Linked DNA regions of Neurospora crassa OR74A. The protein of the gene in region 1 interacts with the protein of each later gene in a pairwise test. Links are inferred from orthologs where the notes say so. Each region holds a gene or a part of one and is shown in the gene's direction. Other genes may lie near its edges. The genes, in order: NCU08951, NCU04455, NCU08903 and NCU01612.

The links.
Region 2: the proteins of NCU08951 (region 1) and NCU04455 interact in binary tests that used the Saccharomyces cerevisiae proteins (3 or more experiments, as listed by UniProt). The link is inferred for Neurospora crassa OR74A from reciprocal best matches to the Saccharomyces cerevisiae genes NHP2 and NAF1.
Region 3: the proteins of NCU08951 (region 1) and NCU08903 interact in a two-hybrid assay, tested with the Saccharomyces cerevisiae proteins (2 studies listed by BioGRID, with this or other methods). The link is inferred for Neurospora crassa OR74A from reciprocal best matches to the Saccharomyces cerevisiae genes NHP2 and NOP10.
Region 4: the proteins of NCU08951 (region 1) and NCU01612 interact in binary tests that used the Saccharomyces cerevisiae proteins (3 or more experiments, as listed by UniProt). The link is inferred for Neurospora crassa OR74A from reciprocal best matches to the Saccharomyces cerevisiae genes NHP2 and PRP43.

What each region holds. Positions count from the first base shown.
Region 1 is NC_026505.1:5,798,328-5,801,868, reverse strand, and holds NCU08951 (ribosome biogenesis protein Nhp2), read left to right. Parts: upstream 1-1,174; 5' UTR 1,175-1,427; coding exon 1,428-1,713; intron 1,714-1,820; coding exon 1,821-2,263; 3' UTR 2,264-3,012; downstream 3,013-3,541. Other genes in the region: NCU08952 (translation regulator GCD7), read right to left, coding at 1-404, 462-559; NCU08949 (hypothetical protein), read right to left, coding at 3,323-3,380, 3,459-3,541. UniProt on the Saccharomyces cerevisiae protein: Non-catalytic component of the H/ACA small nucleolar ribonucleoprotein (H/ACA snoRNP), which catalyzes pseudouridylation of rRNA and is required for ribosome biogenesis.
Region 2 is NC_026504.1:3,301,289-3,305,596, reverse strand, and holds the start of NCU04455 (hypothetical protein), read left to right. Parts: upstream 1-1,476; 5' UTR 1,477-1,763; coding exon 1,764-3,869; 3' UTR 3,870-4,308. Other genes in the region: NCU04454 (mannosyl transferase), read right to left, coding at 49-730, 841-911. UniProt on the Saccharomyces cerevisiae protein: RNA-binding protein required for the maturation of box H/ACA snoRNPs complex and ribosome biogenesis.
Region 3 is NC_026505.1:695,451-698,510, reverse strand, and holds NCU08903 (Nop10 family nucleolar RNA-binding protein), read left to right. Parts: upstream 1-1,184; 5' UTR 1,185-1,247; coding exon 1,248-1,425; intron 1,426-1,508; coding exon 1,509-1,534; 3' UTR 1,535-2,523; downstream 2,524-3,060. Other genes in the region: NCU08902 (hypothetical protein), read right to left, coding at 1-183.
Region 4 is NC_026502.1:2,956,886-2,961,047, forward strand, and holds the start of NCU01612 (pre-mRNA splicing factor ATP-dependent RNA helicase PRP43), read left to right. Parts: upstream 1-1,306; 5' UTR 1,307-1,530; coding exon 1,531-3,729; intron 3,730-3,795; coding exon 3,796-3,921; 3' UTR 3,922-4,162. Other genes in the region: pp-2 (protein arginine N-methyltransferase HSL7), read right to left, coding at 1-299, 383-517. UniProt on the Saccharomyces cerevisiae protein: Pre-mRNA processing factor involved in disassembly of spliceosomes after the release of mature mRNA.

The sequences.
Region 1 (3,541 bases):
TAGATGCGCCGGTAACTGGTGACTGTGCGGTCTCTGAGACGCAGAGAAGGTTGAACATGGACTTGGACATGGGGAGAGTCGCGGCGCGGAGGGGCGTGGGGCCTGGCCTTGTGGAAATGGTGGGCGTTGTGGGCAGCTGGGAGAGGTCGGATACTGAGTCGCCCATCTCGTCGGCATTTCTGTCCTCGGAAGCCTCATCACGAATAAGACCCATTACTCGGCGGACAACGTTGCCGATGACTTGCTCAGTGGGAGCAGCTTGGGCAAGTCTGTGGCCGGTGTTGGAGACCTTTGCGAGCAGCTGATCGACGTTCTGCCACTTAGACTTGGCGACGACCTGGAGCAGCATATGGGCTGTGGCATTGGCGACATCATCGCCCTTGACTTGGCGACGTTTTAGGAGGCTGCCCAACCATGTTAGGATCTGATATAAGATAGATATGAAGCAGGCGTAGGCGTACTAAATAAGAGCCTCGATAGAAGCCTCCAAGGGCTGAGTGTTGAGAGACTTGAGGAGCTTGCCCAACGTGGGGGCATAGCTCATTTGCGACGACGCCATGGCGATGAGCTGTGTATAGTACTCTGTGTGCTACTGAGGTATTGTGGAGGTGATGTCGAAGTGAGAGTGCGACTGTTCCCTGCTCGAGGCTGTATGGTCTTTACGAATGGTACTGGACGGATATCTATGAAATCGATATAGGCGGGGGGGAATGACAAGGCTGCTGGTCGCAAAAAGGTTCTCCAACAATAGCTTCCAGAACTGGGCCAATGTCGCTTGGGATTGTGGACTTTTTGCCAGTGAATTGTCGAGGTGAGTCAATGGCTCACACTGAATGCGCTTGGAGGTAGGTATCACAAGCTCTAGAAATTTAGTGGGGCAGGCAAGCAACCGGCCTTCAAGGACAAAGCACTGCCGCTGTTTGCCAGTTTGCGGCAGGCTAGAAGCAGGCCTTGTTTAAGTTCAAGACTACTACTAATCCCTGTCGTACTGAATGGAAAGCCCCACCAAGCAAAAGGTGGAAGTTTAAGACATTTCCTCTTATCGCGTGCTTATCGGAAAATTGGTCCCTCTTATCGCACCCAATTCCAGGCGCTCACCTGCATTATCGGCCCCCGGGCGGAACGGCTTTACAATTGGCCTACAAATTTTTGGTCGCGTCGCTCTGCTTTGATTGACTGGGTCACTTGATGGACCCAGTAAAATCTGCGTTGAAGAATCCATTTCTGCGATCAACCGCCCCATCACGATACCAAATACCTTGACGCCCCAACCCAGTAACTTTTTTTTCTCTTTACTGCAGTGGTTGTCTGTATAACCATTCTTTAATTCCTGTTTGATACCCCATCCCCCTCCACCACCAACTTTATCTACACACACCCAACCACCACCACCAACAACAACACACACACACATTTAATCCGACAAGATGGGTGCCACCGACAAGATCAAGGAGAAGAAGGACAAGTCCGAGAAGAAGGACAAGAAGGAGAAGAAGATGAGCGAGGAGGCCGGTGTCAAGAAGGAGAAGAAGGACAAGAAGGAGAAGAAGGAGAAGACCGAGAAGCTCGCCAAGGCCGTCGAGGCTCACCTCGAGAAGGAGGGTTCCGTCGACCCTGAGGATGTCGTCAAGACCGCCGAGGACCTCGTCCCCTTTGCCCTTCCCCTCGCCGACGACAAGACCCACAAGAAGATTTACAAGTTGATCAAGAAGGGTACGTTTTGTGACTACTCTCCAATTGCATTGCCAGGCTCCTCAATCGCAGCCCACGCACGACTTGTACTGAACCCAAGCTAACTTTTGATTAAAAAAAACAAACAGGCGCCAAGCTCAAGTCCATCCACCGCGGCGTAAAAGAGTGCGAGAAGGCCATCAAGAAGTGCCCCCTCCGGACCGCCGCCTCCCCTCCCGCCGACGCTCCCGGCCTCGTCATCATCGCCGGCGACATCTCGCCCATGGACGTGATCATGCACTTCCCCATTCTGTGCGAGGAGCACGGCGTTCCCTACCTGTACATTCGCTCGCGCGCCGACCTCGGCGTTGCCGCCTGCACCAAGCGCGCCACCTCGGTGGTGATGCTCAAGCCCGAGGGCAAGAAGTCCTCTGGCAAGGAGGAGGGCGACAAGGTCGACCCTGCCGAGTACCTCGAGGCCTACAAGGAGCTGGTCAAGACGGCGCAAAAACAGTGGAACGTCCAGGTCGAGCCCTGGGTCAAGGGTACTCACCCGCTCCAGATCGAGGCCAAGGTCAAGGGCACTGCCTAAATTGGCGGGAGCAATGACTCGAGCGAAACAAAACACACAAAAGATGAAAGGCTGCAACGACATGATGGCGACAGCGGGAGCACATGAGACCATGACACTATTGCAGGTGCCGGTGTGATTGTGCGTCTGCTTGTTGCAAGAGTGTTCGTGTGCGTACGTGCTTTTTGCTCAGACAATCGGACCGTCTTACCGTTGAGAGAGAAGAAAACAGGCGACCGATCATCTTGGAGATTGGACGCTGGCGGGGAGCGCAAAGACTGTTATTCGATGGACTTTTGCCTGGGCTTGGGGAACAGATGAAGGAGGAACAAGTTTGTGACGCCTTAATCACAACCTCTATCACTCTTTTCTTCCCTCGATGTCGATTTCTGTCTCCGCTTCGGGCTCCTCCCACCTCTCGCTCTCATCACGAAAAGATTGTCGGATATCGGTCATCATCTCTTCCGCATTGACCACATCCGGTCGGCTCCCATGGGCTGGCTTGGTTGTTCTGGGCTTTTATCTAAGCTATAGATAGAGAGCATTGATGGGTTGACGGTTTTAGTCTATCCTGGTTTCGGTTATGGATTTATGGCGCTGGCTACTTGCTGTCATTAAAATATGGAAGGCGTTGCGGGGTAAACACTTGTATTTTGTACGGTATATATGAGAAAGGAATACCAAGTTCATCAGTTCTCATTTTCCAGTTCGTATATGTTCAAGCGTCTTTGGGTCGAATGCCGCGGGCTGTACTTCTGGCCTATGTCACGACACACAACACAACATCGACATGGCCAACTACCATCGCAACACTCAATCAGATGCAAGACAACTCCTGGTCACCAGCAGACAACAAGCACACGAGCCAAATAGTGAGTTATCGCCAGCGTCTTCCATTCATCTCAGGAATGCTGATACTATGCTAATAGCTTGATACAATACAGAGGGTACCAAGAAAAAAAACAGGAAATGCCCAGGAACACGCCCACACTCCAAATTGTAGGTGCGATACTCAAGTTCCCCATTATCATTAACTTCATTAAACCATACCAGAGTTCCTCTTACTCAAAAAAGGACCCTTTACTCGGCACGCCAGCTTGTCCGGCCGAGAGTAGGCGATCCGGAGGTAGCAGAGGCGCTGTTTCAACCATGTCAGCAGACTGTTCCCACAGGATATACCGTAGTAGATAGGTTCTTTTACAATAGGGTGACCCACTACTCAAAAGGGTTGGTGCGCGTTCCCCACCAGGTAAGGAAGACGGAAAGGCCGACAGTCTCAAACAGCTTAGCGAGGACGTT
Region 2 (4,308 bases), on another chromosome or scaffold:
CTTGCTACAAGCAGAGGGCACAATGGCGAAAAAAGAGATGTGACCTACCACAAGCAGACCAGCCGCAACGACACCGCGGACCACACGATGAGCGGCTTCAAAGAAGCGATCCTTATCGCCGACCAGGGCAAAGAAGACTTCCTCCAACAAGAAAGGGGCGCAAAGGGCGGCGGCAAAAGGCCACCCAAGCACACCACCAATGGCAAAGTAGAACATGGCCATGGAAGTCTTAAGACCCCCACGCCAGTTCATGAAAGCGGCGGCTCCAAGCATGGCCATGTACATGGCGAAGCTGGAGGGCAGGTAGGCGGTGCTGGAGTGGAAATTACCGGGGCTGAATACGAGCGCCACGATAAAGAACAGGCCGATCCTCGGGTTCAGGGCCAAGCAGATAGCCCTCCACATGAGCGTTTGGCTGAGGGCACAGATGAAAGCCAGAACACAGCGGACAAAGTAGAACTCGGCGACCTTGTTGGAGTGAGGGAGCAGCCTGCGGATATTGCCCACAATGGCATGGAGGGCGACGTAAAGCCAGTTTCGGATGGCATAGTCGGGCGAGTATTCCCAGGTTTGGAGGCCATAGCCGTGGCTCAGATAGTGTGTTGGCTCCCAGTAATTGAAGGTCTCATCACAGTCCTGGATGGGGGCGAAGAGAGCGGCAATCAGGTTGGCTCCGAGGAAGATGTAGAAGGCCGAGATGGGCTCGATCGCGTAGGCATCTCGAATTGCCCTGGCGACACGTTATGTTAACTACACGTTCCAGCAACAGATGTCAAGCAGACATGAGTGAAGCAGAATGGAAGCTTGTCATGATCGTGATGGGTGCTGGGTTTCACTAACTGCTTCTTGGCATGTTTGGCTTTGGGATGCACAAACTCCTTCTTGGGAGCTTCGCTGGTAGGTGGTGGCATCGGATCGTCGCTGTCTTTGGAACTGGTGTGTTTTGGATGAATTCAAGAATAAGTTGGAATTGGGAGGGAGGAAGACAAAGTTGAAGCTAAAGGAAAGGAAAGGAGGAAATGTCGTCACAGCATTGGCGCTATCAGAATAAGCCGCCCGCGGTCAACAACACAACTTAACCCGCAACTGGTCAGAGTCTGGCGTTCAACAATAACAGAAAAGTTGGGGGATTTTCAGCAGCTCGTCTTGCGTCACTCCCGCAATTGGACAGCGCTCCATCAGAGGTTTGATTCGGTGCAGGCAGGCATTGGATTCAATGCACGTGAAGACGTCGGTTCAGGCAGGCTCGGCAAGCTGGGCTTGTGCTGCGCTTGTCTGTAAAGAGAATAGCGCATTTAAATCTAATCCGTGCTTCCTGCAGCTTTGCCCGCCATTCGACAGGGGTCTGGCTCGATAACCTTTTTTTTTTTTTTTTGCCCATGTCCCAAATTCTGGATGTGGTATGTCCGATAAGAGTCGCGATAAGGAAGTGGTCCTGCAAAGGAAGTTGCTGTTTTGCCTGAATCTTTTCCCTTCCTTCGCCATCCCATCAACTTGCTCACAGAGTGTTTATCTTCATATCCTTTTTCGAGGATTGATTGCGCTGGGTATTTGATATCGCAGTTTGAATTGATCGATATCTACAAGAAGGCGCACCCATCTTCTTTCCCAAGAAGCACCCTGTGCCACGCGTGGTGCTACAGTCAATTCGCCCACCATTGCCACCTCTTGTCAACCAGCATTCACCTTCATCGTCACCGTCGACAACAACACTACATTCAGCCTAGACCACTATTGCTGCCTTTTCTTCGCCTCGCTTTGCCATGTCTGAACACCCCTTTCAGATTCCAGGCCTTGGCCAGGCAAGGCCAAACGAGCAGCTCCCTGCTGACAATTTTGCACCTGATCTTCTTGTCGCTGCCGCTAGCATCGTCGGACAGGACGTCCTGGCAGTGAACTCTGCTGACCCTGCGCAACTGCTTGGATTGCCAAAGCCAAAGACGGAGGAGAAGAAGGATGAGAATGCTATGGATGTTGATTCCAAGCAATCAGACAGCACGCCTGCAAAGGCACAGGAAGACGTCAGCATGACGAATCACGGCGACAACAAGCAACAAACTGCCTCCGAGAACCCCGCCGCTTCCAACCTCGACTCTCCTCCGAGCCCCGACGTCACTTCTACACTCGAAGCCGCCCTCAATGGTATGCTGGATGCTCCCGCCAGTTCGGCAAACATGACCAACGGCGATCAAGACGGAGTCCAAGAGGAGGAACACCCTGAGTGGGAGGAGGATTCGTCACCATACGAATCTTCCTCGGAGTCGAGCTCTGATAGCTCATCCGATGATGATTCGGATGACGAAGATGCGCACCCCGTGTTGGGCGTGGAGGAAACAGTCAGGATGCTCATGGCCGGCCTTGACGAGGAAGACGAGGATGGACCCAACAAAGGAAAAGGAGCTGGCGCGCCATTGCGGACCAAGAACGAGATCGTCGAGGAGATCATTCCTAAGCCCGAGGTTGTCATCACCCCCGAAATGAAGATTGAGCCTCTGGCTCACGTCGAGTTTATTGTTGAGAATACCGTGGTCATGAAGTCTAGAGTCCCCGGCGAGGTCAAGGTGCTCGACTTGGGTTCGGTTCTTTGCAAGGAAGACAGGACGGTCATCGGCGCCTTGGCCGAAATCATCGGCAATGTCAAAAGCCCGCTGTACACTTGCGCTTTTGCCAACCAGGATGAGATCAAGGAGCTTGGCCTGGAGGTCGGCACACAGATCTTCTACTCCGTTGAACACGCCAATTACGTCTTCACCCAGGAGCTCAAGAAACAAAAGGGCACCGATGCCAGCAATCTTCACGACGAAGAAGTTGGTGCCGATGAAATGGAATTCTCCGACGACGAGAAGGAAGCCGAATACAAGAAGCAGCTAAAGATGAAGAAGCGTGGTGGAAAGGCTGGACGCGGGGGTCTGCGTGAGCAGGTTCTTCGTGACCAGTCTTACGCCCCAAGCACTGCGTATGCTCCCTCAGCATCCAGTGCCACCCTCGACCACAGTCCCACAGTATCCAGTGCTACGCTTAACTACGACGAGGATGACGATGGTCCCTACAGGCCTCTCGCTAGGCCCGTAGGCTTTGGTCAGGGAGGGCCGCCATCACTGCCACCGAAGCCCGAGGTCGGATTCAACGCGGCACATGGTGTTCAGGGTCAGCGGGGTGGCTTCAGCCGTGGAAACCGGGGCGAGTTTCGCGGACGTGGCCAGCGCGGAGGATACCGTGGTGCTGATCGGAAGCCTGGTGGCCACCGTGCTGGACGTGGTGGTGCTGCCGCCCCTTCCTATGGAGGCTACGAGAGCACTTCGGCACCTCCTCCATTCCCCAACACACAGCTGCCTCCTCCTATTCCCCCGAATGCACAAATCCCCCCGCCTCCCTTCGGCGCAACCCCAGGAGCAGCACCCCCGATGCCCGGTGGCCATTGGCCTCATATCCCGATTCCATTCCCACCGCCGCCTATTTCCTTCCCCCGGCCCTCGACCCAGTCACCTGTTCCTCCCCCTCAGCTTGCAGGAGCTTTTAACTTCAACTTCCAGGCGTGGAATCAGGCTCAGGGCCAACCGTATCAATACCCACCACAGTCCTCGTCATCATCTGCTTCCGCGCCCCAGCAACAATCGTCGACTCCCAGCTACCCTCATCAGGCACCGACCGTCCCGCCTGTGTGGTCTGGCGTCCCGCCCCCACCTCCTATCTCTGGCGCATACGTAAACCCGAACTTCTTCCAACAGCTGCAGGCCCAGCATGCCCAACAGCCCCAACAGCCCCAACAATCCCAACAACCTCAGCAACAGCAGCAACAGCAGCAGCAGCAGCAGCAGCAGCAGCAGTATTGGGGACAGCACAACGCATACGGTCAGGCTCCTAAATAGGATGAATCGAGCTACCCAGTTGCCGCGTGGATCGCCAACAATATCAATGAAGGCGTCGGGCGCCATTCTTGAGACACATATCCATCAGAGCAGTGGCTGTTCCCAGGAAATCAACCGACCATTTGTTCGATCCTTGATTTGTGAAGGCAACACGCAGTGGCCTTGACAGCGCATCACCTGAGGGTCTCTCTACCTTCATACCATCTACATGTCCCGAGTCATGTCTACCAGTATTCTTGGTTTGTTGGAGAGGGTCTGGCTTGACTTTCGGTTATGAAGAAGAATGGCTCCTTGAGCGAACCTTTGCTTGCATCCAGCATGGCCTTCATTCAGAAGGAGCATGCTTGTGCTATTGATTAGGGTATACTATTCTCTGCCTACATCAATTGGTGCAGGAAAAACGGAACAAGAGTCTGGATACTCTTCGTACAAGGAAAGG
Region 3 (3,060 bases), about 5.1 Mb from region 1:
ACAGTCGCCACAGTCGACGCGGGGAGAATGTCGACCGCAGCAGTGAGCGGTGGCCGAGTCGAAGTAATAGGACCAGGCGGGGATACGTCCGCCGTTAAGGGTGGTGAGGCGGTAAGCAGGGCAGCGGGGGTCGCCGGCGAGGGCGGAGGGGCAAAAGTGGGAGATTATGCGGCCTTGACACATTTTGAAGGTATGGTTATCTTGGGATGGATGGGGTTTACCTTGGGATGCCTGATGGTGGTTCGGAGTAGTGGTTTGTTGTTAGTTGTGGGATGGGGGTGGTTACCTTGGTTTTTGGAGTGCTCCTTTTCTCGTAAAAGCTGGTTTGACGCCTTGTTGATTCAAGATTTTTGGTTGTCGTGAGGATGAGCGAGACCATTTCGAATTGTGGGATTGGGGTGACGGAATCATTGAGTATTTATGCTGGTGTCAAAGTAATGCTGTAGGGATTGACAACTAAACTGTTCAGGATACTGAAATGAAGCAACGACCCTTGTGTCCGGTTCAGGGGAGAACACTCCCGGTGAATGGGAACTTGTGAAGGGCATTATTGTTCGGCATTTTGTGTCATTCTGCCGGTAGAACAGGAGTAAAGTTTTTCAAGAGACATTGATCATGGATATGTCCCAGACAAGGTCTGAACAATGGGGACACAGCGTATTGCCGTGGCTTGATCATGTTGATAGGCCACGGGAAAGTGAGAAACAGGGAGACAAGAACTGTCGTGAAGTTCAAAAAGACATTGTTCTGGAGGCCTTTGTTCGCGGCACGTTGATGGACTACCGTGGTCAATGAAGTGTGAATCCGTACCCGCGGCGCACTGAACCATGATTAAAAAAATCTGTCCAATGACCGTTGCCCGCGGTGCAGAATTGAGATTCAAGAGTTCAAGATCTGGAAGTTCCGTGCCTTCCCATTCCATAGCAATGACAATAGGATGAACAGGGGATCGATCTCAAAGCCCCACTAATTCCCATGTCCAGTTAGACGTGCCTTGCAGTGTGGGGCATCTGGCCCTCCACCGCCTGCCTTAAGCGACAGCAGCGCACAGACCACTCCATTTTTCGTTGCAGTTTCTTTTCCATTGTCGGCGCGGCAACGTCGAAAATTATCGAAAGGCAGGAGATTTGAATCTGACAACTCTCACGACAATCACCACACACATCTTCCAGCTCGCCAGACCATACCAAATCACCCTACACACATTCAAGCCCGTCAGCTCAGACAAAACCGCCAAAATGCATTTGATGTACGTCCCCGCCAAGAACGCCGACGGCAAGCCGCTCGCGCGCCAGTACACCCTCAAGAAGGTCCTCGACGGCCAGGTCACCAAGAGCGCCCACCCCGCTCGCTTCTCTCCCGACGACAAGTGGTCTCGTCACCGCATCACTCTCCGCCGCCGTTTTGCGGTCCTTCTCGCCCAGAGTATGTATCTTCCCACCCACTCAATTGCCAGTGAAATGGAGTCGAGCAGCGGCTGACGTTCCCTTTTTTTCCGCTGCGAACAGAGGCTCTCAACAAGACCACCGAGTAGAGTGACCGTGGCCAGCGGGACCCATTGACCGAAATCAAGACCAGGTTCCATGTCAATGCTGCCACCCGTCTTTTGTTCGCGTCCGGCGCGAGACTCGTCGGTCCAGACGATGCCAACACCCACAAGAACCTTGTTAAGATGATGGAAGACGAAAAAGACAACTTCAGGACAAAAGCCGACAACCACAAGTTCAACGCCAAGGCCGCCGTCTTCTCCTTCATGTTAGACCAACACATGCTCAAGCAGGAGGATAGTTTCGACAAGAAGATCAAGGCCATGCTCGAGGCCAACCACCCGGACGAGTACTACCTGGATCAGTACTGCCAGATGGTCAAGAACATGGAGAACTAAGCCGAGTTCAACAAGAAGGACGGCAACGCTTGCGGTAGCTACATGAAGTAGTTGACCAACAACCTCTCTTCTTGTCCGCCTACCTGCTGTGCTCGACCAGTTTGTTCTTGCTTCCACAACCACGACCTCGTTTTTGGCTGCTGCTCTCCTGCAGCGTTAGCATTTGATTGTCCCGTTGGATCTTCAATCGAACCGATCGTTGGCAGACGGTTTTCTTCCCTACTTGCAACAATTTGGAAGTGGAAATTGGCAATCCACGACGACCGGGGGGGCTCGCTTTGGTTTCAGATAATGACACACAAGACAATGATGGCACCGACAGCAGCAGCGGCGGCGGGATGGCACCCGGCTGACTGAACTGGCTTGTTCGGATTCTCTGGATCCCGGAGAAACACCTTTCTGATGCTTGGGTTATATTGCATGTTTTTTCCTTTTTTTTTTTCTTTCTTTCGGATTTTCAAAAACAGGAAAAGACAAGTTGGGCAGAGCTTGTCTTCTTCCTCCTCTGTGTGGCGTTTATCGGATACGGGATCTCTCCTTCAGTCTAGTCATTTGGCTAACTGGGATTTGGTTGGCGTCTTTTTGCTTGCTTCTGAGCATATAGTGTGGGAAAAACAATACCAATGACTTTCTCGATGATTTTTTTTCCCTCGGTCCGTTGATGATACATTGGTGGTCACAGCAGACCGTCCGTCCGCTCCTCACCGTGTTCACCTTCTCCTCCTATTTCTCCAATGAACCATGCATGACTTGGCGTGACCGCTCGCTCATTCTCTCTCCATGCCTTCCTTTCTCTCCCTAATCCCGTAAATCCTTACTCAGCACACTACTACCGTTCATATCAAATGCGCGAGGCCATTTACCATCCGGCTCAAGAAGAAGATTCCATTCCATTCCATTCCAGTCCCGACCAACACTACCTACCTACCTACCCACTGTACCCAGAAATGATACTACCATGCCATATATCAACAACCCAGGAAGTTACAAGCAGCCAGCCAGCCAGCCAGCCAGCCCAAGTCTAGGTAGTGTCGGTAGGTATCTACTAACCGGGCCTACCCCATGGTGCTAATTAAATCAAAAACTACCTACCTTAACAAATGGACAACAAAGCCAGACATCTCTCATCTCAACGCCGTCAGATCAAGGACATACATACATACATACATAAACCA
Region 4 (4,162 bases), on another chromosome or scaffold:
AGCTCGAGGTTCAGCACCTGACGGGAGATGTCTGAGATGATGGGATCGGCAGAGCAGAGGTCGATCCATGGGCTGGCATAGGCGATGAGCGAGCCAACATAGCTGCTGGGAAACAGGGATGTATCGTCGTCAGTCAAGGTAGGAACCGTAGGAAGTGGCAGCGACGGGTTGGCCTTTTGGGCGTCAGTGAGTCCCCGTTCGGTGACCCACTGTTCCCGTTCTTGGAGATGGCTCTTGTACAAGTCGATCACGCGCTGGTGAAAGTGCTCGTTGGTGATGGGGGTGGTGACAAAGTTGAACTATTCTCATCTCATGTGTGTTAGAATTTATGCTGTTGCTCGTTCTTCTTTCTCTTCCTACTTTAATGTAAGGAAAGACTTACACCACTGTCCAAGATCTGGCCGTACTGATTGTCAGTGGGCGACTCATGTCGTTGGACATCATGCTGGCCAATGTAAAAGGGCGGCCGTTGCTCGAAAGACTCGGACTCGGGGTTAAACCCGCGATTTGAAGACATGATGAGTGAGTGACTGGACTTTTATGTGAATCCGAGTGAGTGAAAGAGAGTGGACGAGACTAGAAGTAAATAACCCCGCGATGGTCCAGGTTAGGTTTGAGGTGGTACGAACAGCAGCGGGAGGGGTACGGAGAAGGTAGCTATACTAGTCTCTGGGGCCTGTATACAGTAGAAGAATGTATAGGCTGTACTTTGATGAGGTATCGGACCCAATCACAGGGAAAATTGTAAAGACTGAAATCAAAGTTGGATGGTACTTTTTTTTTATTTTTCCCAAAACGGACTGACCCCATGGCAGTGGATATTTCCAGGGAAGAAGCACCAGAGGAAAAAGTCCAACCTCAACGGTCACCAACTCGAAATAAACAGGTATGGAGGGGTATAGATGGATAGGTACATGGAAAATGAAATAGCTGAGTGAAAGAAAGATTGCACACAAACCCAATGCGCCAAAAGTCACAATGTCACAATGTCACAATGTCACAAACTTCATCAACCTGCCTGCATTTTGCCTCTTTTTTTCTTTCTTTTTTTTTTCTTCTTCACGTGCAGCAGGAACAAACTGAGTGAACCTGACAGTTACAGAACAGTGTAGAAAATTACCGTCTTAGTGCCCATCAGGGTCCTGTCCAATGCTACAGTGATTTGCTTATCAGCGCTTGCCAAAGACACTCCTTACTCCACTGAAGCTTATCACTGTGACCCCTCATTGGTCGAGAGTCGCTGCGGCCAGGAACTGCCGGCCAGGTCTGACCTATCGCCCTGACATCAAACAAAAAAAAAGTTGTAGCCTCGCATGCCTGCCCACTGCCCTCCCCTCCACTCTGTTTCGCTGTTGTTCATCACTGCCACTGGAGGTGCCATAATCGACACTCCGCCTTCTGTTTTGCCTATCGCCGCTTCTCTTCTTCCCCTTCAGTTCGGTCTTCTTGTTTTGTTTCCTAGTACCCACCCCTCTCGCTCGAAGAAACAAGATATAAAAAAAAGGCCAGCTGCCCTCGGTCGGTACCACAATGGCCAGCCACGACGACAAAGGCGTCAAGAGATCCAACATGGACGGCAACGACCAGGACTCAAAGCGCATCAAGCGTGCCGAGAATGGCGATGCTGCCCCCGAAAAGTACAACCCCTACCTCGCCCATCTCAACGAGGACGGCAACGGCAACGGCACCAATGGCGACTTCGAATCGCCCCTCGACGCCTTCGAGAGGCACAAGACCACCGCCGCCCAGGCCGCCCAGGCCGAGGACTCGGAGCTCAACCCGTGGACCGGCCAGCCGCACTCGCAGAGATACTTCGACATCCTCAAAGTGAGGCGCGACCTCCCCGTCCACAAGCAGCGCCAGGAGTTCCTCGACATGTACCACAACACCCAGATCCTCGTCTTCGTCGGTGAGACGGGTTCCGGAAAGACCACCCAGATCCCCCAATACGTCCTCTACGACGAGCTCCCCCACACGAACGGCAAGCTCATCGCCTGTACCCAGCCCCGAAGGGTGGCGGCCATGTCGGTTGCCCAGCGTGTCGCGAACGAGTTGGATGTCGAACTGGGCCAGGAAGTCGGTTACAGCATTCGTTTCGAGAACCGGACCGGCCCCAAGACCATGCTCAAGTACATGACGGATGGTCAGCTCCTGCGCGAGTCCATGCACGACCACGACATGTCCCGCTACAGCTGCATCATTCTCGATGAAGCCCACGAACGTACCCTCGCGACCGATATCCTCATGGCCCTGCTCAAGCAGATCGCCGCCCGCAGGTCAGACCTCAAGATCATTGTCATGTCTGCCACGCTCGATGCCCAAAAGTTCCAGTCCTACTTCTACAACGCCCCATTGCTCGCCGTCCCCGGTCGTACCCATCCCGTCGAGATCTTCTATACCCCCGAGCCCGAGCGTGACTACCTCGAGGCCGCCGTACGGACCGTCCTCCAGATCCACGCCACTGAACCCGAGGGAGACATCTTGCTGTTCCTTACTGGTGAGGAGGAGATTGAGGATGCTTGCCGAAGAATCAGCTTGGAGGTGGACGACATGATTCGCGAGTCGGATGCTGGCCCCATGAAGGTTTACCCTCTTTACGGCACTCTCCCTCCTGCGCACCAACAGCGCATTTTCGAAAAGGCCCCCGAGCCCCTGCGCAAGGGTGGCAGGCCTGGTCGCAAGGTCATTGTCTCGACCAATATTGCCGAGACGTCCTTGACAATCGATGGTATCGTCTACGTCGTCGACCCCGGTTTCAGCAAGCAAAAGATTTACAACCCCCGCTCTCGTGTTGAGTCTTTGTTGGTTTCTCCTATCTCGAAGGCCTCTGCTCAGCAAAGAGCTGGTCGTGCTGGTCGTACACGGCCCGGTAAATGCTTCCGTCTTTACACCGAGAAGGCTTTCAAGAAGGAACTTATTGAGCAAACCTATCCTGAAATTCTCCGATCCAACCTGGCCAACACTGTTCTGGAGTTGAAGAAGCTTGGTGTTGAGGATTTGGTACACTTTGATCTCATGGACCCTCCTGCGCCCGAGACCATGATGCGCGCCCTGGAGGAGCTTAACTACCTCGCCTGCTTAGATGACGATGGTGAGCTTACGCGTCTCGGTGGTTTGGCTTCCGAGTTCCCGCTTGACCCCGCCCTCGCCGTCATGCTTATTTCGTCGCCCGAGTTCTACTGCTCCAACGAGATCCTTTCCATTGTGTCCCTCCTCTCCGTCCCTTCGATATGGGTACGCCCCAACAACGCGCGTAAGCGGGCCGACGAGATGAAGATGCAGTTCGCCCACCCCGACGGCGACCACCTGACGCTGCTGAACGCCTACCACGCCTTCAAGGGTGCCGAGACCAATGGCGACGACATGAAGCGCTGGTGCCACGAGCACTTCCTCTCATACCGTCACCTGTCGAGCGCCGATAACGTCCGGGCTCAGCTCAAGCGTATTATGGAGACGCACGACATTAGCCTGGTCAGCACGCCGTTCCAGGACAAGAACTACTACACCAACATCCGCCGCGCGCTCCTGGCTGGCTTCTTCATGCAGGTGGCCATGCGCGAGAGCAGCAACAGCAAGGTGTACAAGACGGTCAAGGACGACCAGCTCGTCATGATCCACCCGAGTACGTCGGTGACGAGCCCATACGACTGGGTCGTCTATAACGAGTTCGTTCTCACAACCAAGCAGTACGTCAGGACAGTGACCAACATTCGTCCTGAGTGGCTTCTTGTACGTATTCCCCTTTTATGAATTCCCTTTGTCAATGGCATCTTGAAACTGACCTATGTAAACCAGGAAATTGCCCCCGTCTACTACGACCTCGATACCTTTGAGAAGGGCGAGATAAAGTCGGCGCTCACTCGTATCACCGACAAGGTCAAGCGGAGGCAAGCCATCAAGGGCAGCGGCAGCGCGCGTTAGTGGCGTTGTAGAGACAGGAAGAGAAAGAACAAGTCTTCTTCCGCTGCTGCTGTGGTAGCTGATGGTAGTGGTCGTTGTGAAGAGACCAAGGATACCGAGAAAGAGAAGCCGAGTCGCCCGCCGCTCGTACACGTTACGGAGAACATCGCCCGCACCGGTGCGACCTCTTCCGCCGGGAACAGCAATGAGAAGCAGGAGAAGGAGAACTTGAAGATAAAGAAGAGGGGGGCGAGGAGAGGGC